2 linked regions of the Stegostoma tigrinum genome follow. The protein of the gene in region 1 purifies or fractionates together with the protein of each later gene. This does not show direct contact. Links are inferred from orthologs where the notes say so. Each region holds a gene or a part of one and is shown on either strand. Other genes may lie near its edges. The genes, in order: card11 and malt1.

Region 1 (17,098 bases):
GTTCTCCCAGCTGTACACTGTGCTGCCACCTCTCTTGGCCAACCCCCAGACATTCCTTAACAGCCACAGAAGGCATAATAAGCATTTCAGAACTTCAAAACTCTTTTGGACTCTCTCCAATAATTCCTGCAACATGAAGGTCAAAACTGCACAGTACACCAGATTCATGTGCCAAAGTCAAATAAAACATCACTGCAAGCTTATTCCATATCCTTAGCTAGACACTGTATTTTCATCAAATCAAAACCCAAAGAACAAAGAACTGAGAGTGCTGTAAATAAGGAACAGAAAAGGTGCTGGAAAAGCTCAGCAGGTCTGGCAGCATCTATGAAGGAAAAAGAAAGAGTTAACGTTTCAGGTCCGCTTCTGAGGAAGGGTCATCGGACAGGAAACGCTAACTTTTCATTTCTTTCACAGATGCTGCTATACCTGCTGAGCTTTTCCAGCAACTGTATATTCATCGTGGATGAACACAGCAGGCCAAGCAGCATCATAGGAACAGGAAAGCTGAGGTTTTGAGCCTCGACAATTCTTCAGAAGTGAGGGAGGGGAAGGGGTTTCCCAAAAATCCACAAACCTGACTGCTCTGGTCAACCCATTGTCTCCGCCTGCTCCTGCCCCACCGAACGCATCTCCACCTACCTGGATTCCATTTTCTCCTGTTCCAGGAACTCTCTACCTACGTCCGTGACACCACCTATGCTATCCACCTCCTCCAGAACTTCCAATTCCCCAGTCCCCAACACCTCATCTTTACCATGGATATCCAGTCCCTATACACCTGCATTCCTCATACAGATGGCCTGTCCTGCAGGCCCAACAAGTCCCCCTCCACTGCCACCCTCATCCATGTAGACAAACGCGTCCTCTCCTTCAAGAAGTTCCTTTCAATTTCTCCCACCTCCTACATAAAAGAGGGGGTGGCCATGGGTACCCACATGGGAAGAAGCTATGCTTGCCTCTTTGTAGGTTACGTGGAACAATCCCTCTTCCGAACCTACACTGGTCCTAAATCCCACCTCTTCCTCTGTTGCTTTGATAACTATAATCGACACCACCTCGTGCTCCCACAAGGAGGTCAAAGAGTTCATCCACTTCAACACCTTCTATCCCAACCTTAAGTTCACCTGTACCATCTCTAATACATCTCTCTCTCCCCATCTCCGGCAACCACTGAGAAACCAATATCCGTTTCAAGCCCACCGACTCCCACAGCCACCCAGAATGTACCTCCTCCTACCCACCTTCCTGCAAAAATGCCAACCCCATTCCCTGTTCCTTTACCTCGGCCGCATCTGCTCCCAGGATGAGACATTCAACACTCGTACATCTCAGATGTCCTCGGTCTTCTAGGACCGCAACATCCCTACCCCCTCCGTAGTCGAGAACGCCCTCGACTGTGTCTCCCACATTTCTTGCAACTCATTCCTCACATCCACTCCCCGCAATGACAAAACGAACCAAAACAGAACCCCCCTTGTCCTCACGTACTACCCCAGCAACCACCAGATCCAACGCATCATCCTCCGACACTGCCACCATCTGCAATCTGAACCCACCAAAGACAGGTTTCCCTCTGCACCCTTATCTGCTTTCTGGAAGGACCAGTCTATCCATGACTTCCTTGTCCGTTCTACACTCCCCTCCAGCCCCACCACACTTCTCCCTGCAACCGCAGGAAGTGCTACACCTGCCTCTACACATCCACCTTCACCCCCATCCCACGCCCAAGAAGACTTTCCACATCAAGCAGATGTTCACCTGCGCGTCTGCTAATGTGGTATACTGCATCACTGTTCCTGTTGTGGCCTCCTCTACATCAGGGAAAGCAAGCAGAGACTGGGGACTGCTTTGCAGAACACTTACACTCGGCTCGCAACAAACAACTGCACCTCCTAGTCGCAAACCATTTCAACTCCCCCTCCTATTCCACAGACGACAGGTCCATGCTGGGCCTCCTGCAGTGCCACAACGATGTTACCCGAAGGGTACAGGAACAGCAACTCATATTCCACTTAAGAACCCTCAGCCCAATGGTATTAATGTGGACTTCACAAGGCTCAAAATCTCCCCTCCCCTACTGCATCCCAAAACCAGCCCCAGCCTGTCCCTAACTTGTCGTTCCACCTATTCCCCCTCCTCTCAAGCTCCACCCCCATCTCCTACGTACTTGTCTCATCCCACCCCCTTGACCTGTTCATCCTGCCTGGACTGACCTGACCTATCTCCTCCCTGGCTCCATCCGTGCCTCTTTGACCGGTCTGTCTCCTCTCCACTCCCTATCTTCTATCCACCACCCCCCCCCACCCCCGCCAAATATCTTTTTTGGAACCTCCTTCCCCTCCCCCATTTCAGAAGGAGGGTCTAGGCTCAAAACATCAGCCTTCCTGCTCCAATACTGCTGCTTGGTCTGTTGTGATCATCCAGCTCTACAACTTGTTATCTCAGATTCTCCAACATCTGCAGTTCCTACTATCTCTGTATTTTCATTGTGATCTTTATATGGTGAACTAACAACTTTAAAAGACTCACCACTAAACTCCTCAAATCCATTATCACATTAGTCCTTTCAAGCATGGTGCCATTTAATATATAAATTAGTATTCCATTCAACTTTCCAATCCGAAGAATCTATACTTTTGAACATGGAATTCCGTCTGCTCTCACTCTGCCCGTTGACCTAACACAGCAAATATTTAAAACTAATGCATTTTCATTATAATTATAATACTCCAAAGTCATTTACAAAACTTCTGAACAACCAAGTGAATATGAAATTTTATGGCCTTCCTCCGATGACCAGTTATTGCTCAAGTCACCTGATATTGCATTATTTTAGAACACCTTTTGTTATTTATCACATCAATCCCATCATCTACTTCACCACTTGTGCTTTAGACCAACAGCTTGTGAACAGCCCTGTTTCCACAGAGTCAAAGACAACAGAACACAGCAGGCCACGCAGCAGAGGAACCAGAAAGTTGACGTTTCAGGTCAGGACCCTTCTGCAGAAATGGGATCAAATGCCAGATTAGTTCAGTTAGCACTTATTCATGGGCCAAAAGATTTAAGTTCAAGGCCCACTGCAGAACTTCTGCACATAATCTGGATTAACAATTCAGTATGATAGGTCAAAATGTTATGTTTTCAGATGAAATATCAAAATGAAGTCCCATTCGTTTGTTCAGGTCAGGAGAGGTCCCACGGTGCCTTTAAATGCAGAGAAACTCTCATGGCATCCAAGCCAACATTTATTCTTTGATCAACACAAAACAAGTGCTCAAGTTTGGCAACTGATCTGCCTATATTACAAAAATGAAAACGTAATTCTCCTTTAGAACTGAACAGGTGTACAAATGCAATGCTCTTTAGTTCCAAACAGTCATATTGGACTTGAAAATATTAACTCAGTTCCTCTATTTACAGCTGTTGCTACACCCGAGTTTCTTCAGCACTTCGCTTCTATTTCAGATTTCTAACATCCACAGTATTTTGCTTCTGCTTGAAAACACCAAGATTATTTTGCAATAGCCAAATCACAAACACCTATAAATTCAAGTTTGTTTCTTTTTTCTCTTTTGAAATCGAATGAGACAACAACCATTACCTATCCTGTTATCCACCCAAAGTAAAACCTCAAAAGTAAATTGTACAGCCTTATTCAAATGTAGATGTGATGTGGCTGCCATTACAGAGACAGACTGCAAAAAAAAGATGACTTGAATATATAACACTAACAAAAATAAAGCTGGAGAAGAGTGGAAGAGTAGCTTTGTTAATTAAGAACAGCATTAGTACAATAAAAAAAATCATATCTTAGTTGTGGAGATGAAGATGTCAAATCAGTTTAGGAAAAACTGGCTGGGGAAAGAAGTCACTTTCAGCAATGGCATATTACCTTGTAATAAAAACCACATTGTCAGACAGGATAGAAAAAAGGGGGGCCAGTGGGAAAGATATGCCAAGAGTCATGGGTGATGTTAATCAATATATAAATTGGATTGGCAGAGTCTGAGTGATGAGTTTATGGGATTATATTCAGGAGAGCTTCTCATGGCACCAAGTTCTGAACCAAGTAGTGTGCAAACGCGACAAGATAAGGCAATGTACAATAAATAGGCTTATTTAGGACTTCATATTAAAGACATCCCAAGGTAACTAACTTTACTATGACTCAGTATCATTTTCAGTTTAAGGGAAACGAGTGCAAACCCAAGAAAGTATCATGGGGAGGTGATGGCCTAGCGGTATTAATTGCTGGACTGTTAATCCAGAGATCAAAGAGCATTCTGGAGACCTGGTTTGAATCCTGCCACAGCAGACGGTGGAATCTGAATTCAATAAATATCTGGAGTTAAGAATCTAATGATGACTGAGTTGATTGTCAGGAAAAGCCCATCTGGTTCACTAATGTCTTTTAGGGAAGGAAACTGCCATCCTCACACGTGACTCCAGACCCACAGCAATGTGGATGACTCCGAGCTGCCCTCTGGGCAATTCGGGATGGGCAATAAACGCTGCCTAGGCAGCGACACCAACATCCCATGAATGCATAAAAGGGGAAAAAAGAACATTATAAGCTTGGAGGATGACAATTATGGCCACAAAAAAAATTCCTGTTCACTTAGACTTATGCGATGATGCAATAGCCCGTATTTAAAGTAGTATTTCAAAATACTTAGAAAAAGTACATTCCGGTGACAAACAATGGCTCAAAAGAAAGGACACACCTGTTCCAATCAAATATGTTAAAGATTGGATTAATCCAAAGAAGAAGCACATAATTCTACCAAGATGAATGGCAAGTCAATAGACTGGGCAGGATATAAAAGTTAGTGCTGGGGTCTCAATAATACACAATTGATATTGATGTCCTGAATGAAGGAACTGAATGTACAATTCATCAGCAAATTTAACAAACATAGATCAGAAAAGAATTAGTGGCAAGTACATAGGCAACTGGAATGGGATACAAATAGATTCACTTAGTGAGCAAAAAAAAAGTTAACATATGAAGTATAATGTAGAAAACTGTCAACTTCCCTATTTTGGCATGATGAATAGAAAAATAATGTTACTTCAATACAAACAGAAACTGCAGACATCTGAGATACAGAGGGATCTGGGTGTTATGATGCTGAAATACAAGACATCAGCATGCAGGTACAGCAAGTGATTAAGAGGGAAAATGGATAGTTGGCATTACTAGAAGGGAAATATAAAATAAAGTTTGCTCTGCTGCAGCTGTACAGGGTGCTGGTAGGCACATACCCGGAGATGGGTGTACATTTTGGTTTCCTCATTTAACGAAGGTTATAAATGTATTGGCAGTTTGGACAAGGTTCAAGCAACCGATATTCAGGATTGGGGATGGAGGATGGTTATGTTATGAGAAAAGGTTGGACAGGCTAGCCTGTTTCCATTGTAGTTCAGAAGAATGAGACATGATCACAAGAAAAAAAAAGGTTCTGAAAGGACTTCAAAAGGATGAATTAAGTTGTTTACTCTTGTGGGACAGAGTAGAACTCAGAGTCAGGAGTTCCAAAATAAAAGGGGTACTCTGTTTAAGACAGACGAGGAGAATTTTCTTTCAGAGAGTCATAATTCATCGGAACACACTTTCCCGGAGATGGCAGTGGGAGACAGAGGTAACTAAATTGTTGCAAACAAGGGAGTCAAAAGTTATCCAGGGTATTTGGGAGTGTGGAATTGAGATCACATCCAGATCAACCACCATCATATTGAATGGTCGAGCAGGGTCAATGCATTGACTGATCTATTACTGTTCTTAACTTTTATGTTTATATTCTTAAAAACGTGCACACTTCAATATTCATATACATTTGACAGAAAACTACCTTTTACAAATTCATACTTCCCAACTACATCTGTCCCTATAATTATTTTAGTGCTCTAATTTCCACGTAAAAAGACTAACAGACTTATGATTTTGTAATTGATCTCTGTTAATGTCAAATAGTAGACTGACAATGGGAAGTATTCCAAAAGTGCACACAAATCGCTGAAGAAAGAGGTTGGTAAAAAAATGGCATTGACTTGATGGGCTTAACAGCTAAACATTTGCTGTAATATCCTCTCATTCTTGACATAAGGTAACAAAAGTGTTCAGATTACTAAAGAACATCTTTTTGTTTAAAATCCAAGATGGCACGTGACTAATCTCATTCCCACTGGGGATTTACAATCAAAAAATAATTACCACAAAATACAACCTGAAGTTCCAACTACACTGTACTTTGAATGAAGTACAACTGAAAAACTTATATTTTTTCCCATAATCAATTTTCCTTTAATAGCAACAGGACAAATGGTTTGAGCCTTCAGCTTAATGATGCCATTCCCAATTTAGAATTATAAAGTACACAGTGTTTCAGCACAGAGATATAATCCCAGCAAGTGGGACATTGAAGCTCCAACTCACAACTCCACAATGACATCCAGTGGGATCTTCATGTCTGGCAGGTGTGGGTATCCTGCCTCTGTGCAGTCTACGGCAGCTTATAAAACCGTTTTGTCCCATAGGACTAACCACTTATCAGCTGATACACATTGGAAAAAACGGTTACTGCTGTGAAGGAAACCATAATGTCATGAGTCAGATGCTACTCAGTTTATGAATCCTTTCACTACTTTAAACTATTCTGCAAGGGAAATGTGGAGAATAAATTTCAAAACAAAAATCAATTATAAAATAGGTGTATGAAACAACAGATATTGATGCTACTCAAACGAAATTAGATTAAGACAGCTAATTCAATCTTAATAGAAGTCAGTTTTTAAAAAGTTTAAACATAGGGACAGGAGTGCAACATAAAAGCCCTTTATTTGGAATGAATACAAGTTTTTACATTGGGATACTAATCCAATTGAGATCGCTGGCACCAGAACAAACGCGGCACTGTTTATGATGTATGACGGCGCATCGCTCAAGCAAAGAACTTCGGCATCCCACCATAAAGAGAGCAAATATCAGTTCATTCATTGGGTAAAACAATCGCGTTTCAAATACTTACTCGAACGCACGGACAATGGTACAGAAAGTGTTGTTTGCATTATCTTGTCTGTTAGCTAAATCAGAGTTTGCTTATATGCTGAATAAAGTAAGCTTGTTTCAATTAACAAATAATCCATAATGCAATATGGAAAGCGAGAGCAAAAACAAAGTCGCCAGAAAGCTTCAGGGGTCCGAGAAAAGGTCAACGGACCCGAAACCTTAACTGATTTTTTTTCCTTCACAGATGCTGCCAGACCTGCTGAACTTTACCAGCAACTTTGTTTTTGTTCCTGATTTACAGCATCCGCAGTGGTTTCGTGTTTTTTTTTAAAAAAGAGAGTAAGGGATTACCTCGGGTTGAGAAAGTAGTACGTACATTAGGCTTCTACTTCGCGTTGCAATTCTGTGATGGAAAATGAAACTGGCACAAGTGCTTATTTACACTGCCCAATAGAAGTGCAACTCTTTGGTTTGTTCCCACGGCAAAAAAAATAAAAAGCAAAACGCACGCTGTCTCATTAATTGACTCACCATCGGATAATTGTTCCTTAATACTACAAAGTCAGCTTGGAAAGTAAAGCTATGAGAGCTGATAGCAGACAATATTCAAATGTAACCCTTTGCGTACCGTACAGCTTGCAAAATACCATTTGATTAACAAGCATGTTGCAAAGAAACCATACGACAGTTGAAAAATATGGTAGCGTTTGTGTCCGCACTTAAAGCACAACACAAATGTTGGACTTTAATCTCTCCTTCACATCACTTGGAAGATTTGCATAAGCAAAAACATAATTTGTTCCCACTTTGAAGGTGTTTCGACTCCTGTAATGTAGAACTTAATCTTACCTTGAGCCAGGGTCTGTAGCACGTGGATATAAAAGAGAGCTAACATCCACATTCGCCCAAAACATCCAAACAAATTAAAGTTTCCTCTCGCACTAACAAATCCAGCTGTTCTTCGGAATACTCCCGATTTCGGTCCCCTAATCAATACATTAATTTCATCACTTCGGTTTTCAATCTGGTTATCGAAAACACCTTTCAAACAAGGCCGTTGCTTCATCGCCCTTTGGTTATTGATTGAGTAGTCCGTATTCCCGATTTCTTTGGCAATTTCGATCAACTGATTATGGTGGGCATTCGAACGCTGGATCGATCTCTGCTTAGTGAGTCCGCTTGGGTAAAGGCTCCCGATCGGTCCCTGCAAGGCTTTCCTTTGGCATCGATCTTTCGGATGATTGATTACAGATGTCGCTGGGTTTACAATTAGTTCATGGCTAGTAGCCCCAGAGTGCGGTCTTTTCCTGCTGCTAGAATTACTGATCAACGTTTGCGGGCCCTTGCTGCTAGCCCCTCGAGTACAGATCACCTCTGGATACGCATCAACATCAATGAGTAACACAGCGATGACCTGAGCATCGACCAGCCCAAAACTCGCGTCTCCCATCATCTGTTGATCGCCTCGATTAGTGCAATCAGGTCGCTCCCTAACAATCGATACGCTTTGGTATATTTTCAATGAAATATATTAGACTGAATGAAGGTCTCCTCCAAGCCGCTGGTTAAATTGTGTTATTTTGGCTGGTTGCCCTAGAGAGGAGATCGGGTTTGGTTCAATCTTTCGCAGCCTGCTAATGATCGCCGCTTTCCTTGTAGAGGGTTTGGATCGGTCCCTCTTCCCAAAGCCCGGATTTCCTCAGCGGGAACAGCGTCACTCCGTTCCGACAAGCTGCCTTCACCCCTGGGATGAGAAAGCAGAGGTGTAAATAAAGGGAAGCGTTTTCTTCCCAATCCTCGTTTTCCTTATTTTTTAATTTCGTCTGTTACTTTCCAATGTACACCGAGGAGGCACCAAACAGCAATGATCTCAACTTCCAGCCAGCCGCCTGCAATACCTGGTTGATAATTAACTCCAACGCTTTTTTTAAAAAGAGCAAATGATTATCACTTGAATGGTTGTTTGGTTTTATCACCTAAGTGGAGACGGGATAAAATTCCCAAACCTGAAAATGATGAGTCTGTGAAAGTTTCAACTCATAACTGAAACAGCTTTCAAACTTTACTTGAACAAATTACATGCATTCTCCAATTGGATGAACTGCGCTTGGCAAAGTTTGAACTTATATCTGACAGCGGCGCGAGACCAGGGGCGTTCGCCACACACACACACACACACACACTGATTTAGAGTTACATTAGTACGCCTAATATGTTTTATAAAAAAAAACATAATCTTCAACAACTTTGAACCCTGCAAGAGACCTGAAATTAAATTCTGAGGTGAACGCCCCTCGTCCGATGACTTTCCAACAGATTTCCCTCTTGCTTTGAACTACCTTGTAACGGCAGTTTGCGATTTCCTTCTTCCCCGCCGCCTTTTCCTGTCGACGGACCGCACTCTTTCGGCTCGAGCTGAAGCTCGAGCGCGCCTCTGATTGGTCAACGCCAGCAACCACAACCTGCGATCTGATTCGTCAACATTCCACCAGGAGAAAATCTCTTCCGGCTGATTGGCCGAATTCTGCACCACCGCTCGCTGATTCGCTGATATCTGGACAGGGTTCTCAGTTCCGATTGGATGGAATGCGATCGCTGCTGTGATTGATCAATTCGTTGATAGGTGCTGGCTTTCCATTGGTAATGAAACAGGCGACCATCTGTCTCCGGTCACTGGTCTCTTCACTGGAGCCCTGACCAACCAATAGGAGGACGAAATGAGAGGGGCTATTGATTGGTTCCAAAGAAGAAATTTCCAAGACAGAAAATTGGGTTTGCACAGCTTCTTGTCTTTAATGGTCAAGTTCTTCATTGAATCCTTAAATAAAACAAAGAACTGCAAATGCAGGTAATCTGAAAAAATTGTAGAATTTACTGGCGAATCTTAGCAGGTCTGGCAGCATCTGCGTGGAGAAAGCGGACTTAACGTTTCCACTACAGGTGACTTTATCAGAGTACCTTCAGTCGTTTTCGAGAGCGGGATTTCTCGTTAATCCATCACTATGCCGTGTTTTGTTTGAATGAAATTGTTCTTAGCAGAGCCAACCTATTTTCGACGATTCAGACCTACCTTACCATCCACCCTGCGTCGATGTCACTTCTCTATCATTTGTGCTTCCTTGGCGTTTTGCTATGTGTACCGACACAAGAAGTGACTGGGGAGTCCAGAACCAGCAGTCACAATCTTAAGGATACAAAATAGGCAATTTAGAACTGAGTAAAAACCGAAAGAACAAAATTGCTGGAGAGGTTCAGCAGATCTGGCAGCATCAGTGAAGGAAAAAGACAGAGTTACCGTTTCAGGTCCAGTGAACCTTCTTCAGAATCTTCCAATTTATGACTCAGATCAGGAGATGTTTCTTCGTCCAGATAGTGATGACCATGTGGAATTCTCTGCCACAGAAAGCAGTAGAGCCCAAAGCATTGAATGTTTTCACAAATAAGTTACTTAGTTAATTAGAACTTTAAAAAATTGAAGGGAAAGAGAGAAAGCAAGATGAATTAAGAACAGGGTACTGACTTGGATAATCAGCCATGATTATACTGAAAACTGGGCAGACTGAAAGGACCAAATAGCAAACTCCTGCTCCGATCTGCTATTTTCAATTAATCCATTTTGTAGCAACAAAGGGAAAACTGCTGGTCATTGTTAGACCACAGTGCATCCCATCTTCCAACAGATTCTTCATGCTTGCCCTGCCCTGTCCTCAAAATGTAAGTTCATCACTATCTCCAAGAGAAATCAATGAGATCTTTCTTATAGACAATACCACAAAACCCCAACACCCAGTTCATTCCCTTTCCAGGCCATGACCGTTTCCTTTTCGGGTGAACCATTTACCCAAAGCACTAGGTTAATCGTGCACAGATGTTCTTCAGTTTTACTGCCAATCAATTCCCTGAAAACCATGATGGGAACCCTCAATGCACTACAGCACTATGATTGCTTACAACGTAATTTACCAACAGAAAAACCATCACAGACTAAGCAGAAAAGTCAGCTAAAACAATTAGAATTCAACGCTCAGGTGTAATGATTCGCCCATCAAGACAATTAATTAGACAACTAAATATCTCTAATATTGTTGCCCAAATTAACACCTTTGATAAATTCTTCTGGACATCAATATTTTTTGAATGGAGACAGTAGGAACTGCTGATGCCGGAGAATCTGATACAACAAGGTGTAGAGCTAGATGAACACAGCAGGGGAAGCAGCATCAGAGGAGCAGGAAAGCTAACGTTTCAGGCCTAGACCCTAAAGGTCAGCTTTCCTGCACCTCTGATGCTGCTTCGCCTTCTGTGTTCATCCAGCTCTACACCTTGTTATATATATTTTTTGAAAGATTTTTTTTTTACTAGCTCTTAAAATAACTACTAACTTACTTTGGGTTTACATGGCTTAATTAGAATTTTACATTTTTGATACCATATTTAATATCTTCATTGTGTTCCCCAGACAGAGAGATTTTCTTTTCAAACTGTAAAGCTAAACTTCCCTAATCTTTCTTCAAAGCTCATTCTCTTTGCACTCGAATTGAAATATGACTGTTCTCCATACACAGCCTAATGCAATCTTTAGGGGCAGCCCTTTTCCCTTTTAGCAGTTACTGAACTTCAGGTAGATAATCAGCTTTGATCATGTTGAAAGATGAAGCAGACCTGGAAGGCAAGATGGCTGACACATTCTATTTTTTATGTTCTTCTGGCTGCTTATAAAAAAGCAGTGGATTTCCTGATTTTTCTCATGTGCACCGTAAGTTAAGTGGCTAAGAATAAAAGATTATCATGTTTTTGCAGCAATAATTACAAGCGGGATTTGTAGCATTCCAACAGTATCTCATTGACTCAAACTTGCACATATTACACACTGGACTTCATTTTCTTCAAAACGAATGTTTATTTTTAAATTTAAAAGTGAAACCTCAATAGTTGATACTAAAATGAAAAGGCAGCAATTAAAAATACACAAACATCTAGAATGTGCAGCAACAAGGACAGTCAGCTTTCCAATTTCACTTGTGTCCAAAATTACAATCTTCACAATAAGGTTAACTTTCTAGCCCAAGTGGCTGTTTAGGTGGTGATTATTTCATTAAGGATTTTTGTTCTAAAAAAGCAAATGCTGCCCGGAATACTGTAAAGAGAAATTCTTACAATCTTCCAGAGGCTCTACGGTGCTCCTCGGCAGCAAATGCTTCCAACTCAGAAAGTCAAGTTTACTTTTTGGACAGTTAACTTATCTGAACAACAATGTTCACTTCACAGGTGCCTAAAATATCAAGGGTTAAAATGCAATTTTTCCAAATTGCCATCAATAGCTAGTGTGAGTCTTAATTGAAAGATGTTCCTGTTTTGCAAAGTCTAAATAATTTCTTTCCACTTTTGTTTTGAATTATTGAAAAGATTCACCTGAACCTGGGCTTCAAAAATTGTAAATCTACCAAGTTTTTTGTGCATTTGTCACACTATCATTGTTGCAGCATCGAATACAGTATTCTAAGTCTAAAGAATGTATTGTAAAATCTCAGCATAGTTCTGGAAATGTAATTCTCTCACCTTTAAATTACTTCATTGCATTACCTAAATGTTGAAAATGATATTTTTACTATTATTCCCAAGCTCCCTCCTAGTCCATCCTTCTTCTAATTCAGTTCCATTCACTGTATATGTGTCTGAGATTATTTTGATGCACATTTAGCAACCTGAATTTCACCAGTGATATGTCTGCATAGTCAACCGACATCTTTCTGACAGCATTTTGCTGCATTCTGTCGCTGTGCCACTGCCCCGATTTTGTGTCTTTACCAGGTTTGAAGAGCTACCAGATGGTTTTGGTTTACATTGTCACCCTTAGGTAACATTATCTTTTCAAAGTCTGCCATTATTCTCTGCAAGTACTTCTTTACAGATGTTTACGTGTTTATTGTGGTCCAAAAATCATTTTTGTCTCTTCCCATATATCTTAAACCTAAAAATTTGTCACTGAAAATTCAATGTTTAATTCAAGCTTTCCTCCATAAACAGACACTAGATGGCATTGTCTTAGTCCTTGAAACGTAATAAACCTAAGAAATATAAATTGCAAATTAACTAAAACCGGATTAAATAATTTGCCCTAGATGGATTTAGAGTTGGGTACACACAGACAAGCTTTCTTCAAATAAGTTTTTTTAATTAAAATTTACATTTTTGCCAAAAAAACTAAAGGTAGAATTGACCAGCAACTAGAATCATAATTTTCACTTTGTTGCAGTAACTTGCTTTCTCTGAGGTATAGGAACGAAAAAAATGCGGAGCTCAGTTATGTAATTTTTAATTGTAGGGTCAGATTTTAGCTCTGTCAGTGAATGAGTTTTGCTTGAGTTATAATCTAATACATGGTCCGTGTTCTCAAATCGGTTCATACCTTCGTTGTTTTAAAGCAATTAGTCGAAGAATCATTCATTGGCAACATGGCATTCATGCTTTAACTCAACTGGTAATAATTTCTAAAAACAAAATAATGTAACGAACTTTTTTTTTAATTGCTCGGGAACTGTGCGCAGTTTCCACGTTCTCCCATGTCTGCGTCGGTTTCCGCCGGGTGCTGCGGTTTCCTTCCACAGTCCAAAGATATGCAAGATAATAAAGTGTGAAGCTGGATGAGCACAGCAGGCCAAGCAGCATGTGAGGAGCACAAAAGCTGACGTTTCGGGCCTAGACCCTTCATCAGGAAGGGGGGTGGGGAGAGGGTTCTGGAATAAATAGGGAGAGCGGGGGAGGCGGACCGAAGATGGAGAGAAAAGAAGATAGGTGGAGAGGAGAGTATAGTTGAGGAAGTAGGGAGGGGATAGGTCAGTCCAGGGAAGACGGACAGTTCAAGGAGGTGGGATGAGGTTAGTAGGTAGGAGATGGAGGTGAGGCTTGGGGTGGGAGGAAGGGATGGGTGAGAGGAAGAACAGGTTAGGAAGGCAGAGACAGGCTGGGCTGGTTTTGGGATGCAGTGGGGGGAGGGGACGAACTGGGCTGGTTTTGGGATGCGGTGGGGGAAGGGGAGATTTTGAAGCTGGTGAAGTCCACATTGATACCATTGGGCTGCAGGGTTCCCAAGCGGAATATGAGTTGCTGTTCCTGCAACCTTTGGTTGGCATCATTGTGGCACTGCAGGAGGCCCATGATGGACATGTCATCTGAAGAATGGGAGAGGGATTTGAAATGGTTCGCGACTGGGAGGTGCAGTTGTTTATTGCGAACCAAGCGGAGGTGTTCTGCAAAGCAGTCCCCAAGCCTCCGCTTGGTTTCCCCAATGTAGAGGAAGCCACACCGGGTACAATGGATATAGTATACCACATTGGCAGATGTGCTGGTGAACCTCTGCTTAATATGGAAAGTCATCTTGGGGCTTTGGATGGGGGTGAGGGAGGAGGTGTGGGGGCAAGTGTAGCACTTCCTGCGGTTGCAGGGGAAAGTGCCAGGTGTGGTGGGGTTGGAGGGCAGTGTGGAGCGAACAAGGGAGTCACGGAGAGAGTGGTCTTTTCGGAGGGCAGACAAGGGTGGGGATGGAAAAATGTCTTGGGTGGTGGGGTCGGACTGTAGATGGCAGAAGTGTCGGAGAATGATGCATTGTATCTGGAGGTTGGTGGGGTGGTGTGTGAGAACAAGGGGGATCCTCTTTGGGCGTTTGTGGCGGGGTGGGGTGTGAGGGATGTGTTGCGGGAGACGCAGTCAAGGGCGTTCTCGACCACTGTGGGCAAGTTAGGTGGATTGGCTATGTTAAATTGCCTGCAGGGTGCATGGATAGACAAGTTAGATGCGTTTGCGACGAGGAAATGCAGGGTTACAGGGATAGGGTAGGGGGACAAGTCTGGGTGGGATGCTTTTGGGGGGCGGGAGGTTCGGTGTGGATTAGCTGGGCCAAGTCACCTGTTTCCACACTGTCGGAATTCTGTATAAATGTGCACCCTTCGACCCTGAATGTTTTCAGCGCCTAGAAGTCAGCCTGATTGACGGGCTTGGTTTCCAGCCAGGCAGGGAGAACTTTGTACCTGTAAGATCAATTGGGTTTTGTAGAGGAGGGTGCAGCTTGAGAGCTGTGGGGAAACATTCCTGCTGCTTGTGGCCACAGCAGTGCACTTACTTTCTCGCTGACAATGCCCTCGCCTCAGTTTAGCTGCTAGATTTCCCAAAGCTTAGAAAAACCTGCCCACCGTTAAACCCGAAAAACTGAATCAGCTGCAACCATCATCAGTAAAATATTTACATTTCGAAGTTCCTTCCCCTCCCTGAATAAAGTCCAAGGGAAGTGGTTTGAGAGTCGGCGTTCATGTTTAACTTACCAACGTTTGATGCAAACCCAACCCATCCAAATGTTGTGTACTGAAATGTTCCCGCCCCCACATTCCAACATTTCGCAGTATTTCATACAAGATACATTTTCTAACTCTTCATCCGGTCGTTGAACTGCGACTGATATCTTTGCTCAGAACCCACCCTCTGTTTTCTCATGGAATTATCCCAGCTGATCTCAGAGAAATACATATTCAGAATGGAGCTTGTTAATGCTGAACTTTTATTTATATTTCTTTATTTTTTTTATCTATACCTAAGATTTCGTATCTGGGTTTGTCTGTACCTAACTTTATAACGACTGTAATGCTGATCTTTTAACTTTTTTTTTTCATTTTTCTAATTTGTACATTAGATTTTGCACTGAGCTATCTTGGTACCAAAGGTGGCGCCAGAAATGGCAATTTCGTGCACTTTTCACTGTATGCATATATCCCTGTACTTCAGTACGTGACAATAAACCGAATCCTTATTCTAATACTTCGTTCTGTTATTGAAGAAGTACATTGCACATGGTTTCTGAAGGAACCAAACAGAATGCGTGAGGTAATTTGGACTGAAATGATGTTAAGCATTTCTTGTCATTTATAAAGTAATAATTTTGGAATACTCCGTTGAGCTTTGAAAATCCCGCAAAGAAATAAATTTGGGCAGCCTCATTCAGTTAACAGAAATCTTAAAATTTAGCGTGTGAAAAGCTAAAGAGAACCTCCTGACTGCCATTTTATTTACACATAGAGTCAAAGGGTCACGCAGCACAGAAACAGACCCATCAGTCAAACCAGTCCATACTGACCGTAATCCCAAATTTAACTAATCCCATCTGCCTGCACCTGTCCCATATTCCTTTAAATATTTCTTATTCATGTACTAATCTAAATGTATTTTAAAAGCAATTTAAAATATAAACATATTTATTGGAATCAAATCATGATTATGTGGCAGAGATAATGGGAACTGCAGATGCTGGAGATTCCAAGATAATAAAATGTGAGGCTGGATGAACACAGCAGGCCAAGCAGCATCTCAGGAGCACAAAAGCTGATGTTTCGGGCCTAGACCCTTCATCTGATGAAGGGTCTAGGCCCGAAACGTCAGCTTTTGTGCTCCTGAGATGCTGCTTGGCCTGCTGTGTTCATCCAGCCTCACATTTTATTATCTTATGATTATGTGGCAAGTTATTTTTAAAAGACAAGAAATTAGAGAGGAACATTATTTTATCGTGCAGGTGTGGTAGCATTTACTTCAAAATTACTGAGTCAGCTGGAAAATAATTTGACACTGAAATGGTTTTATCTTCATCTCTGACCATGTAGTTCAGCAAGTGAAGTTTTTGAAGATGAAGTTGTGCTCAAGTGAAGCAGTGTATCATTTTTGATTGGCAGTTTGATGGCTGAAGTCAGCGCCCAGAAAGGTTTGCAGGCTCAACATATATTCTATTTGCAAACTGTATCAGCGAACTAACATTTGTTGAAAATTTAGTGTGAGATAGAAGATCTGTTGTGAACTGACCCCTTTCCAAGCTTTTTTGACAAGAGCCTTTCATTTCTTCCTTTTTTGTTTTATACAGCAGGAAACCTCTTTGTCTTTCAGCAAAAATCCATTGTCGTTTCTTCTGAGCATATTATGAAGTTCCAATGGACAGCCTGCTTGACAATGAAATTAGGTTTCAAAAGATTTCTTGGATATTTAGTCACAGGTCATAGGGTAGTAATCAACCTCTTGGTAATGTGACCTTACAAAAGACTTCATGAA
Region 2 (16,616 bases), on another chromosome or scaffold:
TGAGCCACCTCCTGAACCACTACAGTCCTTCTGCTGCTTTTAGGAAGGGAAGTTTTTGACCGAGTGACAGTGAAGAAATGGCAATATAGTTCTACAACAGGATGCTACGAAACTTTGAGGGGGATTTGCAGGTGGTTGTACTACCCAGTACCTGCTGCCCACATTCTTCCAAATGGTACACTTACAGATGATGCATACTACTGCATGCCAGTAGTGGAGGGAGTGAATGTTTATGATGATGAATGGGATGCCAATTAACTTGCTGTTTTGATATTAGTGAGCTTCTTGAGTGTTGTTGCGTTAAAGGTGAAACTAATGTGTATGTCACAGCAAATATATTGTATGCATTTCCCCTCAAATAACCTACAAAAAACTCCCATTACACCTTAATATGCATAACAAGTCATAACAACGTGGTTTGCAATAAAACATGACAATACAAAGATATTCAACGGATAGGGGAGCTTTTCCCAAATTAGTCTCAGAAAAAATATTCTTCATTTCCGCTTGGACAACCACCTTTATATCTAATGCTCTGGTGTTGAACATGATATTTCAGCGCTGGAGTCTCAGCTCAGACATCATTCCTGCCACTCAACTTCAATCAGTGGAAAGGGGCACTGAGACAACAGACAAGGCACAGCACTGAATTCATGACTGCCTTCATCATAATGCTCAGCACCTTGTTGTGGAGATTTAAATAAAACTTTAAGGTAGGCTACAAACCAGATCTGATGAAAAGGTTTTCTTTGAACTTAAAGGTATTCACAGTGCTTTGTTGAGGCATGTTCCTTTGAACAGTGTGAACCTATTGCCTTGCTTGCATTTTATCAGCCTCCCACTGACATACTTTCAATTGTTTTCATATTTTCAGTTTGGAGAACAGCATGAAATAATTGAAGGCTTCACTGGCTACTGAACAGGCTGAGAATCCACTACGAACATGACGGTGGTCATTCTTGCCCAGCTGTTATCGAGTCAATAAGGATTTCTGCAATGATACATTATGGATTAACCAGTCTGAGATGCCACTGTGTTTCTGGTGGGACTTCCCCATATTTGGTCACACGTACAGATATTCTATTAAGGACTTTCCAGTGGGGACTTTCCAGCATTTCACCTCATTTAATTACAGCATCAAAAAAAATTATATCCAGGTCCCTTTAATTACCTGAAATGTCTTTCTGTAACTATAGGGAATAAATCCAAACAGCTTTATAAAATTAGCTAAACAATGAATACATTTTCAGCCATTAAGATGTTAACTGATCATAAATATTTGGCTTGCTCATTTGTAGTTTTTGTATAGGTTGTACATAATGAGTGGGACATACAAGTAATTCCAGCTCCCAAAAGAAATCTGTGATCATACACCTCAGTTTTGGCCTTGGCTTGACATACAGCCTACACTGCTTTGCTTTCAATTTCTGTTGACATTTTTTTGTTAAAATTATCACACTACTGTAGAAGTGGTAGATGAACCTCAAAATATTATAGCAATTAATCTTCATTTACCGAAATTAACCACAAATGAAAAGCAAAATTAGTCACACTACTTATAATAGCAATTTATTACTGTTTTGTTGGCAGACATACCAGCCAACTTGCACGGAATAACACTGCATTAACAGAAAGTGAGACAAGTGGCCACTTAATGGGTTTTTGATCGGTTTGGCCAAGGTAGCTAAGATTTGGGTTTAAAGGATCTCTGAAAGACAGAACCTGAAATAATGCAAAATCAAGGTCAAGTGAATTAGTCAGAACGACATAGGTCAATTAATAAAAGGGAATCAGAGAGATAACCAATGTAAAACATATCTCACTAAAACAAATTCAAGGTGACGCTAATGACACCAGGGCAATAGCTGAGCAGAGTGGCACAAAGAGTCTAATTGAAACCCAACTCACTGGCAGTCAGGAGAAATCTATTCACATGGCTGGAGATAACCAGCTTCCTTCGTGCTGAGTGTGAGGTTGCTGAATGTCAATTATCTCAATCCCAAACCACCACGTAGGAGTTTCACATGGTGGTGTCTCAGACCTAACCATCTTCAGATACTTCAACAACAACCTTCCTTCCATCGCATGACCAAAAGTGGCAATGTTTGCTGATTATTGTGCAATGTTCACTAGTATTTGTGACTTCAGATGCTGAGCAGCTTATACCCAAATGCAACAAGTGCCATGCAAAGGCTAGGGCTGATGACTGCCAAATGATAGTCATCCTACAAAAGTGCCAGACAATGACCATATCAAAAAAGCAAGAATCTAACCATTGTCCTTTGACATTCTATGTCATTATCATCACCGAATTCTCTACTACCGGCATCCAAGGAGTTACCATAGACTAGAAACTGAACTAGAACAGTTCCAGAAATACTGTGGCTAGAACAGCAGGTCAGAGGCGAGCTGCTCTGTGGATCTAACAGCATCAACGAGACACAAGCCCAGATTGTAATGGAATATTTCCAGGCAAGATGGCAGCAGAGTAGAGCTCCTCAACGAAGTTTGTCCACTCTGACTGTTTCTTTCTCTTTTTCTTTTTTTCTCACTTTTTTTTCCATTTCTTTTAGTTCTTTGGTCATTAGAGTTTGATCATCAAGGCAGTGGCAGTGACGGTAGTGGCTGGGAGTGGTTGACGGCAGCGCATCATTGATGTCTAGAGCAGTCCCAGAACAGGATTCTGCAGCAATATGGCTAATGCAGCAAGGGAGCGCAGCAGTGACTGAGGCCCAGCACAAGCTGGATCATGGCAGTGGCAGTCACTGATAAGGCAGCAGTGGCAGAAGATGGCAGTGGCAGTGGTCATTCATGAAGGGTGGCAGCAGAGGCGGTCAAGGCCAAAGCCTTGTGAATGACGGCGAAGCCTGGCATGCTTGATGGAGGTCAACAGTGGTGGTTAGCAGTGTAGGCAGCTGGTGAGCATAGGCAGGTCATAGACCAGTGCAAGAGGGAGCGAACCCTCTGGAGAATGCCCAGCTTGGAGCGTGTGCAGGCCTATGGCTTAAAAAAAGGACTGTAATGTTTGACTTTTTAAAACTTTATTTCTTTATTTTTCTAATTCTGTAACTAAGATTTTGTACCCAGTACTTTGTGCCTAAGATGGCATCATGTGAGGCAACGTACACTTTTCATACCACACATCTGAGTATACATGACAATAAAACCTAAATATAAATTTATATCTAAATGTTCTTGCCTGTTGTCTGGATGATTGTAAGTTCAACAACATTCAAGAAATTTGACATGATTCAGGACAAAACAGTGTTGCCTGACAACATCCCATTCGCATTCAGCATTCACTCCCCACACCATTGATGCACATTGGCAGTGTACTTCATCTACAAAATGCAGCAAGTGCAGTAACTCACCAAGGCTCCTTTGAGAACACCTTACAAAGTTGCAATCTCTAACAGCCAGAAGGAGAAGATAGCAGACACATGGGAACATCACCACATGCAAAGGTTCCCCTCCAAGTCACACACCATCTGACTTTGAGCTGTATTGTTTTGCCTTTATTGTCTCAAATTTAAAATTCGAGAATTCCCTCCCTGACAACACTGAGGGTGCCTCTTCCTTAAAGACCACAGTGGTTTAAGAATGCAACTTACCACCTTCTCCAGGGCAATTAAGGAATAAATTCTGGCATGCCAGCAGCACCCACATCAAAGAAATGTAGTCAAAAAACTAACTTGTGAAAATGTACATTGATACGAATAGAAATTCTCCACATTTATAATTCCAGATTTATTTTCCAACATAAAGGGAAACATTAAAGGGATGCTATTTGTGCAACAAATTTTTTCCAAAGCTTCCCCTTTGATTTTCTAGATAAATCTAGCCTCATTGTTATTGAATCATTGTGTAGAAGTAGTATTACATACATACATACTGTATGCTGTGATCTTACATGTTAGTTTTCTCAAGAGATACTACCATACCTTTCACTGCATTGAATTATATTTAATTGTCTGCCAATTCCAGTAAACTGTTTACTTTCTTTGTAAACATTGTTATTCTTCCTCACAGTTAGTCAACTTTTAACCAATTTGCTGAAATGAATCTTCAATATTTGCCCGCTTCAGACTAATTAAGTGTAAAGCAAAAGAGGTTCCAGCACAAATTCTTGGCATATATACCTACCCCAATCGAAAAGCATTTGATCACTTCTGCTCTTTGCATTCTGCTCCAGAGCAATATTTCTGATTAGAACCCTAATAAAATCATGCACCTTAATTTTTATCATGTTTATTCTGAGTCATTTTATGAAACACTCATTGAAAGCTCATACAGACAGCAACTATGACATCCATTTTATGATTTATTATTGCCTTACAGCAATCAGTTAACTTAAACAAGCACAGCTGGTCCTCATGGAATGATACAGCAGAGAATAAGCCCTTCAGTCCATCGTACCTGTACTGGTTCTTTGAAAGAGTAATTCAATTGGTCCATATCCCCCTATCCTTTCCCCAGAGCTGTTAATTTGTTTTTCCTTCTTAAAATAATTATCCAATTCCTTTTTGAAAGTTATTCGTGTTCAGTTTACTCCAAACACCATTGCAGTCAATGACTTCAAGATCACAAAACCTTGATGCAAAACCCAGACCAAATGGCCCTCATTGTACCAATTATCTAAATCTCTTTGGAAAACCATCCTGTCTCTTATTGATTTGTCATTTTTTTTAATTATTCACAAATTTTACCTGATATTATTAGTTCTCTGGGCATTAGAACTTAACCCACAATAAGAGGCAAGATACTCAAGTGCTTCTATATCCAGATTCCAACGATTTACAGCTCATGTCTACATTACCATGTCATAAAGATCTGAAAAGTCAAAATCTAAATTTTTACAAAGAAATAAAAGCAGAAATTCCAAGAGAAACTCAGCAGATCTGGCACTATCTGTGGAGAGAACAGAAAGCTAATGTTTTGAGTCCAGTGACCCTTCTTCAGAACAGTATTGAAACATTAAATCTGCTTTCTCCCCACAGATGCTGCAAGACAATGCTGTATTTCTCCAGAAATTTCAGTTTTTGTTTGTTTCAGATCTCCAGGACTCATAGTTCTTTCCTTTTTTTAAACATTAATTTTGATACAAGTTGTTTCTATGGGATTGGAAAATGTCAAACAATCTGAAAATCACATCAACTGCTACGTGAACAGCAAGCTCCCACAAACAGCATGCTGATAAAGATTTGGTAATCAATTTTTGTTACATTTAGGGATAAATATTGGCCAGGATACCAGAGGTGACTCATCTATTCTTCAAGATAGTGACACAGGATACTTTACATCCTCCAAGGGAGCAGAAGGATTTCACTTTCACATCTCATCCAATGGCGACATCTCATAGTGCATTATTTCCCCATGAGGATCCCAGTTTACAAACCTAGTATCTGCTGGGCTCTTCCTGCCCCCAATTAATCATCTGATGGGCAAACAAACATCATCACCTTGAAAACTCTGAAACAAGGTGAGAAAGTTATTCCTGAATAGTTTCTCTTTTCCCAATAAAGAGGGTACATTTTGTCTCTTTTAGGGTGAATGCTACTTTATCGAATCTGAAAGTTTAAAAACTCAGTTTCAGGCTTTGAGAATCTTCAAGAATGGTCACAGATACAGCTTAAGACCCAAAAGTAGGCAGTTTACCAAAATAAAGCAGTGGTAAATGCCTCCCGTGACATAGTTGTTTTGTCCCTACCTCTGATGTAGGAGGCCTGGGTTCAAGTTTTGCCTGCTCCAGAGGTATCCATAGAATTCTTACAGAGTGGAAACAGGCCATTCGGCCCAACAAGTCCACACCGACCCTAGGAAGAGCATCCCACGCCGACCCGAATCCCTAACCTATCCCTGTAACGCCGCATTTCCCATGGCTAACGCATCTCATCTGCACATCCCTGGACATTATGGACAATTTAGCATGGCCAAACTGCACGTCTTTGGACTGTATAAATAACATCTCTAATATTTTGAAAATCTACAAGTAGCTTCCAGACTATGGAGAAAGGTGAAAACAATCAGGCTTCTGGCTCCTGTAAAACATTGACAGGAAACTGCACTCGACAAGTCAGTGTATGATTTGGTTGTGATGCACACCACAGTTGATTATCCTGTAAGACTGAATAACGGATTCGACCAACTTCAGAATGATAAAGAAAATGTGACAATGAGAACTCAATTTAACGCCGCCAAAAGTGAACGATTTACTTATGTTTGGGGCGGGACGTTGGTCTGGAGAACGGGGAGCGATACACACGTACTCTTGTACATATACTTACGTGAGTCTGAAACGCTTGTCAGCTCCCACAATCTCCGCCAGTTTCCTCCATCCCCGGTTGTTGGTCTTGTCCAGCAGATCGCTTATTTTCTTCAGCGTGTGTTCCTTCAGGCTGTTGATGTTTATCGGCGTGACCTGCGTGGACTCTGCCATTGCAGCGAGTCCTGTTTCCCAGTGGTGCTACTGCTGTCATTGAACAATACCAGAGCCTGGGTGACAGCCGTCTGCTCCTCTCTCCGTTCACCCACTCCCCGGGCAGAATCCAGCCAACAAAAACACGACCCCGCTCAACCGTCTAAAGATGACCTCAATCCAACGCCTTTCTAAACAGACATTTTTTTTTCCTTTAAAAGTGAAACGTTGAGATTTCAAACTTCTGGTTTCAAAAGAAATTTGAAGGGATTGTGGTCACACTGTTGCACGTCAAAAGTCAGACTCTCCGTTATAAAGCAGGAGTGCCCCCATCTCTAAAAATTGTCCCCGTTCTGTCTGGGATAACGTGGCGGTACACACAGAAAGAAACACAGTGAAACCCTCCAGTGAATGCACTTTATTCCAATCGTCTACAACACTTCCTGCTACTTTGGCGATAAACTACTGAAGCAGGAAGTAAAGGCACCTACACCCAAAAATGTGCAAAGGCCTCTGGGAAGTGTGGTTCATCGTGCGAAACTGACTCGGAAAAAGAAACGGTCTTCCAACAGAACTTACATTGATTCGGCTCCTTCAGTCACCCAGGCAGTTCCATTGTAACCAAGGTTGCTTGAGAAGGCGACGGGCAGTCACGGAAATAAAACCTTATAGTCCATGGGGTGTATAAGTAACACCTAGACTACGGTTAGGGAATGAGTTCCAATGCTTTGACCCAGCGAGAATGGTGGCACCGCAATATATGTATTCCTCAATCTGGATGGTGTGTGATAACAGCCTCTCGAGTCACGGACGTAAAGTTATAGAGTTGTACAGCATAGAAGCAGACCTTTCGGTCTAACGCGTCCATGCTAACCAGATATGGTAAATTAATCGAGTCCCATTTGCCAGCATTTGGCCCATATCCCTTTTAACCTTTCCTATTTATATACCCATCCATATGCCTTTTAAATGTTGTATTTGTACTAGCCTCCACCACTTCCTCTGTCAGCTCATTCCATATACTGACCACCGTCTGCTGAAAAGGTTGTCCCTTAGGCGCTTTTTAAATCTTTCCCCTCTCACCTTAAACCTATGCCCTCTAGTTCTGGACTCCCCTATCCTGGGGAAATGGCCTTGACTATTCATTCTATCCTCTTGATTTGATAAACCTCTATAAGGTCACCCCTCAGCCTCCAATGGTCCAGGGTCAAAAGCCCCAGCCTATTTAGCTTTGGCCTAAAGCTCAAACCTGCCATCCTGACAACATCCCTGTAAACCACATCAGTGCAGAATTGAAAAGGAACAGCCCGTGATGAGAGTGAGAATGATTAAGTTGTGACAAAGGCACCAGGCAAAGCAAAATGACAACACAACAAATATAGAAACAGAAATTAGGTCCAAGGAGATGGAGAGGATTGCGTTGCTTTTTAGAGGAGCCGGGAAGTCCTTATATATAAAAGGACTTGTCTTAGCCAACAGATCTTAGATCAAAGCTAATGTCACCTCCAAGGAATCACATTGATGTTTAAATAGTCTTCCTGCAAAGGAGGAAAAACAAACAAATGAAATTTTCCTCTTCAATACCAAACACGTAAGCATTTCAGTGTCTAGTGCACTTCCAGCTCAAAAGAGAAACTTCTTGGAAAGTTACTCAAGAAACAAAAACGGATGTTCAGATTCTTGAAGAAACAGAGATCAACACGAGGACACATGAAAACAAAATTCCTCAAAGGTGGAATCACAGGTAGACTGGGTGGTGAAAAAGGCATTTGATGTGCTTGCCTTTTTGGTCAGTGTATTGAGTATAGGAGTCATAATACAGCTGCACAGGACATTAGTTAGGCCACTTTTGGAATACTGTGTGCAATTCTGGTCTTCCTGCTGTAGGAAAGATGTTGTTAAACACAAAAGGATGCAGAAAAGATTTACAAGGATGTTGCTTGGATTGGAGTGTTTGAGCCATAGAGAGAAGCTAAGTAGCCTGGGGCTATTTTCCCTGGAGCGTCGGAGGCAGAGGGAGGAACGTCATCAAAGTTTATTAAATCACAAGGGACTTGAAAAAGGTGAATATGCTTTTTCTCAACATTGAGGACTCCAAAACTAGAGGGCGTATGTTTAAGATGACAAAGTGTGAAGCTGGATGAACACAGCAGGCCAAGCAGCATCTCTGGAGCACAAAAGCTGACGTTTCAGGCCTAGACCCTTCATCAGAGACGGGGATGGGGAGAGGGTTCTGGAATAAACAGGGAGACAGGGGGAGGCGGACCGAAGATGGAGAGAAAAGAAGATAGGTGGAGAGGAGAGTATAGGTGGGGAGGTAGGGAGGGATAGGTCAGTCCAGGGAAGACCAGTCAAGGAGGCGGGATGAGGTTAGTAGGTAGGAAATGGAGGTGTGGCTTGAGGTGGGAGGAAGGGATGGGTGAGAGGAAGAACAGGTTAGGGAGGCGGAGACAGGCTGGGCTGGTTTTGTGATGCAGTGGGGGGAGGGGACAAACTGGGCTGGTTTTGGGATGCAGTGAGGGAAGGGGAGATTTTGAAGCTTGAGAAGTCCACATTGATACCATTGGGCTGCAGAGTTCCCAAGCAGAATATGAGTTGCTGTTCCTTCAACCTTCGGATGGCATCATTGTGGCACTGCAGGAGGCCCATGATGGACATGTCGTCTGAGGAATGGGAGGGGTAGTTAAAATGGTTCGCGACTGGGAGGTGCTGTTGTTTATTGCAAACTGAGTGGAGGTGTTCTGTAAAGCGGTCCCCAAGCCTCCGCTTGGTTTCCCCAATGTAGAGGTAGCCACACCGGGTACAATGGATACAGTATGCCACATTGGCAGATGTGTAGGTGAACATCTGCTTAATATTGGAAAGTAATCTTGGGGCCTGGGATAGGGGTGAGGGAGGAGGTGTGGGGGCAAGTGTAGCATTTCCTGCGGTTGCAGGGGATGGTGCCGGGTGTGGTGGGGTTGGAGGGGAGTGTGGAGCGGATAAGGGAGTCACAGAGAGAGTGGTCTCTCCGGAAGGCAGACAAGGGTGGGGATTGAAAAATGTCTTGGGTGGTGGGGTCGGATTGTAGATGGCGGTAGTGTCGGAGGATGATGTGTTGTATCCGGAGGTTGGTGGGGTGGTATGTGAGAATGAGGGGGATCCTCTGGGGGCGGTTGTGGTGGGGGCAGAGTGTGAGGGATGTGTTGCGGGAAATGCAGGCGACGCGATCAAGGGCATTCTCGACCTCTGTGGGGGGAAAGTTGCGGTCCTTGAAGAACGTGAACATCTGGGATGTGCAGGAGTGGAATGCCTCATCCTGGGAGTAGATGTGGTGGAGGCGGAAGAATTGGGAATAGGGGATAGAACTTTTGCAGGAGGGTGGGTGGGAGGAGGTGTATTCTAGGCAGCTGTGGGAGTCAGTGGGCTTGAAATGGACATCAGTTTCTAGCTGGTTACCTGAGGTGGAGACTGAGAGGTCCAGGAAGGTGAGGGATGTGTTGGAGATGAACTTGAGGTTGGGGTGGAAGGTGTTGGTGAAGTGGATGAACTGTTCGAGCTCCTCTGGGGAGCAAGAGGCGGCGCCAATACAGTCATCAATATAACGGAGGAAGAGGTGGGGTTTGGGGCCTGTGTAGGTGCGGCAGAGGGACTGTTCCACGTAACCTACAAAGAGGCAGGCATAGCTGGGGCCCATGCAGGTACCCATGGCCACCCCCTTTGTCTGTAGGAAGTGGGAGGAATCAAATGAGAAGTTGTTGAGGGTGAGGACGAGTTCGGCTCAGCGGATGAGGGTGTCGGTGGAGGGGGACTTGTTGGGCCTGCGGGACAGGAAGAAGTGGAGGGCCTTGAGGCCATCTGCATGAGGAATACAGGTGTATAGGGACTGGACGTCCATGATGAAAATGAGGTGTTGGGGACCAGGGAATTGGAAGTTCTGGAGGAGGTGGAGGGCGTGGGTGGTGTCCCGGACGTAGGTAGGGAGTTCCTGGACCAAAGGGGAGAAAATGGAGTCCAGATATGTGGAGATGAGTTCGGTGGGGCAGGAACAGGCTGAGACAAAGGGTCGACCAGGGCAGGCAGGTTTGTGGATTTTGGGAAGGAGATAGAAACGGGCCGTGCGGGGTTGGGGAAAATTAAGGTTGGAGGCTGTGGGTGGGAGGTCCCCTGAGGTGATGAGCTCATGGATGGTGTTGGAGATGATGGTTTGGTGTTTGGGGGGGTGGGGTCATGATCAAGGGGCCAGTAGGAGGAGGTGTCAGAGAGTTGGTGTTTGGCCTCGGCGATGTAGAGGTCTGTGCACCATACTACCACTGCGCCTCCCTTGTCTGCGGGCTTGATGGTGAGGTTGGGTTGTGGACTTCACAAGCTTCAAAATCTCCGCATCCCCCACTGCATCCCAAAACCAGCCCAGTTTGTCCCCTCTCCCCGCTGCATCCCAAAACCAACCCAGCCTGTCTCCGCCTCCCTAACCTGTTTTTCCCCTCACCCATCCCTTCCTCCCACCTCAAGCCGCACCTCCATTTCCTACCTATTAACCTCATCCCGCCTCCTTGACCTGTCCGTCTTCCCTGGACTGACCTATCCCCTCCCTACCTCCTCACCTATACTCTCCTCTCCACCTATCTTCTTTTCTCTCCATCTTCAGTCCGCCTCCCCCTCCCTCCCTACTTATTCCAGAACCCTCTCCCCGTCCCCCTCTCTGATGAAGGGTCTAGGCCCGAAACATCAGCTTTTGTGCTCCTGAGATGCTGCTTGGCCTGTTGTGTTCATCCAGCTTCTCACTTTGTTATCTTGGATTCTCCAGCATCTGCAGTTCCCATTATCACTCATAGCTGGAGAAACTGACAGGTCTGTGGAGACAAAGCCGAGTCTAAGTTTCGGCTCCAGCGAGCCTTCTTCAGATTTCCAGCATCACAGTTCTTTTGTTTTATTTTAGAAGGAATAGTAATAATCATCAACTGTTGCTCGATCTAAATTATGAAGGCATCTTCGGTTCTGACCCTGGATTCTGGTGGCCGCGGGAGGGGGGTGGTGGGGGGAGGTGGTGGAATCTGAAACTTGATCCTTTTCCCATCAGCTTGACTTTGCCCAACTTTCCAGTGTTACTGCAGCTGTATATGATAACTCCCAGAGCGTGTGTACACAGTCTCTATTACAAGTTCGTGAGTATAAGATGCAAAAATAGATCAAATGGGCTTCAGTATATCAGTGTGGATCAAACACGGCTGCTAATCTTCCTGTTCACCGTGCTGAATGTTAAATAACATATAAATAAGGTATGTTCAGAGTTTCTGGTCACTTTGTTTATGGGCAGGGAGGTTCTTTGTTCGCCAGCAACTGGGCTTTTCAATATCTTTATAGTTGCACATCTAGCCCAATGTCTGTTTAAACCAATGGTAGAATTGCTTTCATTGTATAATCTACAATTGGCGCTGTGTTTTTTTGTCGATTTTCCGGTTGTTTTTGAGTTGGCATATGTTATTATGTGTAAAATATTGGATTCCTGTCAGCCTGGTTTTATTTGTAATCTGAGAGGTGGAGAGAGAAAATTTCTCTGCAGAGCTTAGAAGTGGCTTGTGATTGCAAAGCTTTAAATGTATTGAAGAAATAGAAGGGCGACGAAAATTTGCTTTCAGATCCTTTTATGCTTTGAAAAATTTAAATAAACTCTATCAACATGGCTTTAGTTATTGGAGTCATGGAGGTCTGGGCCCATGGAATCTGCAGTTCTCAAAAATAAACATTTAACTATTTGAATCCCAATTTCCAGCACTTGGCTCATAATTTTGTATGCTTTGGCATCACATCATAGAAACAGAGGAACTCGGAGCTGGAGGAGGCCATTGGACTCCTTCAGCCTCCGCACGCTCAGCTAGTTGTCATATAGAGCTGCAGTAACACTGGAAAGTTGGGCAAAGTCAAGCTGATGGGAAAAGGATCAAGTTTCAGATTCCACCACCTCCCCCCATCACCCCCTCCCGCGGCCACCAAAATCCAGGTTCAGAACCGAAGATGCCTTCATAATTTAGATCATGGCTGATCATTGAGTTCAATAGCGTAATCCTACCCTCCCCCATATCCCTTGGTCCATTTTGGCAAGAGAGTTTTATTTCCTCCTTCTTGTAAACAAATAATGCTTTGGCTTCAAGCATTTTCTGAGGCAGCAAATTCCACCGTCTGGGTAATAAAAAATCTTCTCATCTCAGCCCTAAAAAGTTTGCCCCTTATCCTGAAACTATGACCACTAATTCTGGGCTTCCCCACATTGGGAATTTACTCAACTTGTGAGATTACGCTGTAACTTCTTTGAATCCACCTCACAGTTCACAGTTCCACCCTTGTGTCATACAGAAATTTTGAGATATTACGTTCAGTTCCCTTATCTAAAGCATTAACCTATGTTGTGAATAGCTGTGGTCCTAGTACCATTCCCTGTGGTACACTGCTAACCATTGCCTGCCATTCTGAAAAAGACCCATTTGTTCCTACTCGGTTTCCCATTTCCTAACCAATTTTTTTATCCATATCAATACGCTACCCAATCCCATGCAATTTAATTTAACACACCAATTTTTTATGTGGCACTTTTGTTGAATGCCTTCTGAAAGTCCAAATAAACAACATCTACTGGCTCCCTCAATCAACTCTACTACTTATATCCTCGAAGGATTCCAGTAGATTTATCAAGCATGATTTCCCTTTTTAAAAATCAACGTTGACTGTTGCTGATCCCACCACTGTTTTCTACGTTTTGTGCTATAAAATGATGAGTAATGGACTCAAGCATCTTCTCCACCACCAATATCAGAATCATTGGTCTATAATTCTCTTTTCTCTCCACCTCCCTTCTTAAAATAGTGGGGTTACATTAGTTACTCTGCAATCTTTAGGAACTGTACCAGAGTTTAATGAATCTTGGAAGATGACTGCTGATGCATGCACTATTTCTGGAGCCACTTCCTTAAGAGCCCTGGGATGTAGAACTGCACATTTAAATACTTCATCAATGTTATGAGGGCTTCTGCCTCTACCAGCCCTGCAACCAGTGAGTTCCAGATTCCCATCACCTTCTGGGTTAATAATAAAATTACTCAAATATCAATCTACATGTGTTTCTGGCGCTCACCTTAAATGTCCTTTAGGTTCACAAGATGTGGGTGTCACTGCCTAGGCAACATTTATTGCCCAACCCCAATTGCCCAGAGAGCAGTTAAGAGTCAACCACATTGCTGTGTGTCTGGAGTCACATGTAGGTCAGACCAGGTAAGGATGGCAGTCTCCTTCCCTAAAGGACCTTAATGAACCAGATGGGATTTTTTCCCAGTAACTGGCAATGGATTCGTGGTCATTAGACTCTTAATTCCAGATTTCTTTTTTTGAATTCAAATTCATCCATCTGCCATGGTAGGATTTGAACCCAGGTCCTCAGCACATTACATGGGTCTCTGGGTTAACAATACTGCAATAAAACCACTAGGCCATTGCCTCCACTTTAGAAGAAGCTGACCAGTACTTGTGTAATTCTATCCACTGGCCAAGGTCAAATTTACTACATATTGATAAGCATAAAGAAGCTCATTAGGAACTACACACTTAGGAACTAGCTGAAGTAGCACATCTTACTGATTTGCATGCATATTTTGCACCATTACATTACCTAAACCATTCAAGATGCAACTTGTCTGGATTAGGTAGAAAGACCAATGTTATTCTGCTGTCTGAAATCCTTTCAGTTAAATTTGACCTTGGCCAGTGGATAGAATTACACAAGTACAGATCTTCATTCACTAAAATCAAATGCTGGTCAGACATTCAATCATTTACAATGAGCTAAAACTGATCTGTCTGATAAAAACATAACAGTTGAACAAACAAGATTGCTCAGGGACCTTTTAAAAGTCACAATGCGGTTTTACCAGTTGAAACAAAACTGATATAAATCAGTCTTAACCAAAAAGGTGAAGTGCATCAGTCATGTCAAATTCATATCCAACTTGCATCACAGATTTCATGCAGATACGAAACCAAAGGAAAACAGAGATTTCTGAAGAAGGGTCCAAACCCAAAATGTCAGCTTTCCCACTCCCCTGATGCTGCCTGGCCTGATGTGTTCCTCCAGCTCCACAATGTGATACCCAAAGTCTCACAATTTGTTCATCTTCTGATAGACTGATTGGCATCTATCCCCCAGTCTCTCTCTCTCTTAAGAAAAAACCTGGACAAAACACACCTCTTAAAATCACTATCCTCACAATAGGATCTGTCAATATTTGCCATTTCACTGATAAAGAAACAACCTTCATTAGTTGTAGGGCTTGACCAATCACTCCTCTCACTCTGAGGCTGTGTAATCAGTGTGCACGTGCGCCAGAGTTAAAGGTGTGACTAAGATATAACAATCGAAAAAGATTATAGTAGGGTGGAATGATGTCATAGGATTTGAAATTATTGGCAAAAATTTCTGAGGAATGGGGACTTGGGTGATATCCCTGAGGTCAGAGTGTTCAGTGTATACACTGAATAAGGATAGGATGGATTTTTATTGATCAAGTCACAGGAGAACTGTTTTCATTATGACAAACACATGTAGATTGTGATTAAAAAACATCACAAAGAAATTAACTGTAACACAGGTCTTTCCAAGAGGTTAACAGAGCAGGGAAATTATTTCTTTCAGATGATGGATTTTATGAATATTTTACTTACAAATTTTAGTGTTTCCCATTGAAAAGATTGAATGAAATGGCTGATTGGTGTCAAGGAATCTCAGAATTAATTTTTGCTTGTCATGATACGGTCATGCAACTACATCTGCCACATGAGCGGGTCCACTCTGTTACCACCACATCTTTGAGTTTAATTGTCAAAAGGCAGAGGAGTTGAAGGCAGTATTTACCACACTGCACAGAGACAGCAGCTTCATACATGATCTCTGCAGACATGTGCTTGCTCCTCAGCTTTACTTTGGCATTTCTAACAATTTGAATGGAAGCAGAAATAGGTAGCAAATGATTCCAAATGATTCTCTTGCAGACATTTTAGCCTGTTATATAATAGAGTTCAAGGTGTTGACAATATGAGCATTCTGAAAAGATAATCTAGTTCTGGATGTGAGTTTGCTTGCTGAGCTGGAAGGTTAGTTTTCAGATGTTTCGTCACTTTTTTTTATTTGAAAAAATATACTTTATTCGTAAGATGTACAAAAAAAAAGACATATTTACACACCTACCCAGTCATGCAAGTCGCTCCGGGTTACCCAGGGGGTACATACACCAACTAAAGGAAAAATACAAAGAAGGAAAAAAAAACACAGAGCAAAGAAAACACCCCAGCAGTCGTCACCCCGCACAGTCCCAGTTGGCCCCCTGACCAGTTGGGGAAGGCGCCAGCTGGGCCCAGTTACCAGATAGGGTTCTTTTTTCTATTCGGGACGAGGGGTTTCATACGGTGGTCTTTCCCCACCGCGCCTTGGCGGCGGCTGCCCCAAGCTTTAGCGCGTCCCTCAGCACGTAGTCCTGGACCTTGGAATGCGCCAGTCTGCAACACTCGGTCGGGGTCAGTTCTTTCAGCTGGCAGACCAGCAAGTTGCGGGCAGACCAAAGAGCGTCTTTCACCGCATTGATGGTCCTCCAGGCGCAGTTGATGTTGGTCTCGGTGTGCGTCCCCAGAAACAGCCTGTAGAGCACGGAGTCCCGTGTCACGGAGCTGCTTGGGACGAACCTCGACAAATACCACTGCATCCCCCTCCAGACCTCCTGCGCATAGACACACTCCAGAAGGAGGTGATCAACAGTCTCGTCCCCCCTGCAGCCACCTCGAGGGCAGCGTACAGTGGCGCAGAGATTCCGGGCATGCATAAAGGATCTCACTGGCAGAGCCCTTCTCACCGCCAGCCAAGCAATGTCCTTGTGCTTGTTTGAAAGTTCTGGCGATGAGGCATTCTGCCAAACAACTTTGGCAGTCTGCGTGGGGAACCACACGACGGGATCCACCCTCTCCTTTTCCCGAAGGGTCCCGGATTTACGACATGCTGACCACTGCCTGACGGCCTTGTGGTCAAAGGTGTTTTGTTTCAAAAATTTCTCCACGAAGGACAGGTGGTACGGAACGGTCCAACTACTCGGAGCGTTCCGCGGCAACGAGGCCAGGCCCATCCTTCGCAACACTGGGGACAGGTAGAACCTCAGTAAGTAGTGACACTTGGTGTTTGCATAATGAG

The links.
Region 2: the proteins of card11 (region 1) and malt1 purify together in Homo sapiens (affinity purification with western blotting; 6 studies listed by BioGRID and IntAct, with this or other methods). This does not show direct contact. The link is inferred for Stegostoma tigrinum from reciprocal best matches to the Homo sapiens genes CARD11 and MALT1.

Annotation. Positions count from the first base shown.
Region 1 is NC_081376.1:13,749,118-13,766,215, forward strand, and holds the start of card11 (caspase recruitment domain-containing protein 11), read left to right. Parts: upstream 1-9,732; coding exon 9,733-9,863; intron 9,864-17,098. Other genes in the region: sdk1a (protein sidekick-1), read right to left, coding at 7,865-8,468. UniProt on the Homo sapiens protein: Adapter protein that plays a key role in adaptive immune response by transducing the activation of NF-kappa-B downstream of T-cell receptor (TCR) and B-cell receptor (BCR) engagement.
Region 2 is NC_081354.1:151,653,465-151,670,080, forward strand, and holds the start of malt1 (mucosa-associated lymphoid tissue lymphoma translocation protein 1), read right to left. Parts: upstream 6,865-16,616; 5' UTR 6,437-6,864; coding exon 6,285-6,436; intron 1-6,284. UniProt on the Homo sapiens protein: Protease that enhances BCL10-induced activation: acts via formation of CBM complexes that channel adaptive and innate immune signaling downstream of CARD domain-containing proteins (CARD9, CARD11 and CARD14) to activate NF-kappa-B and MAP kinase p38 pathways which stimulate expression of genes encoding pro-inflammatory cytokines and chemokines.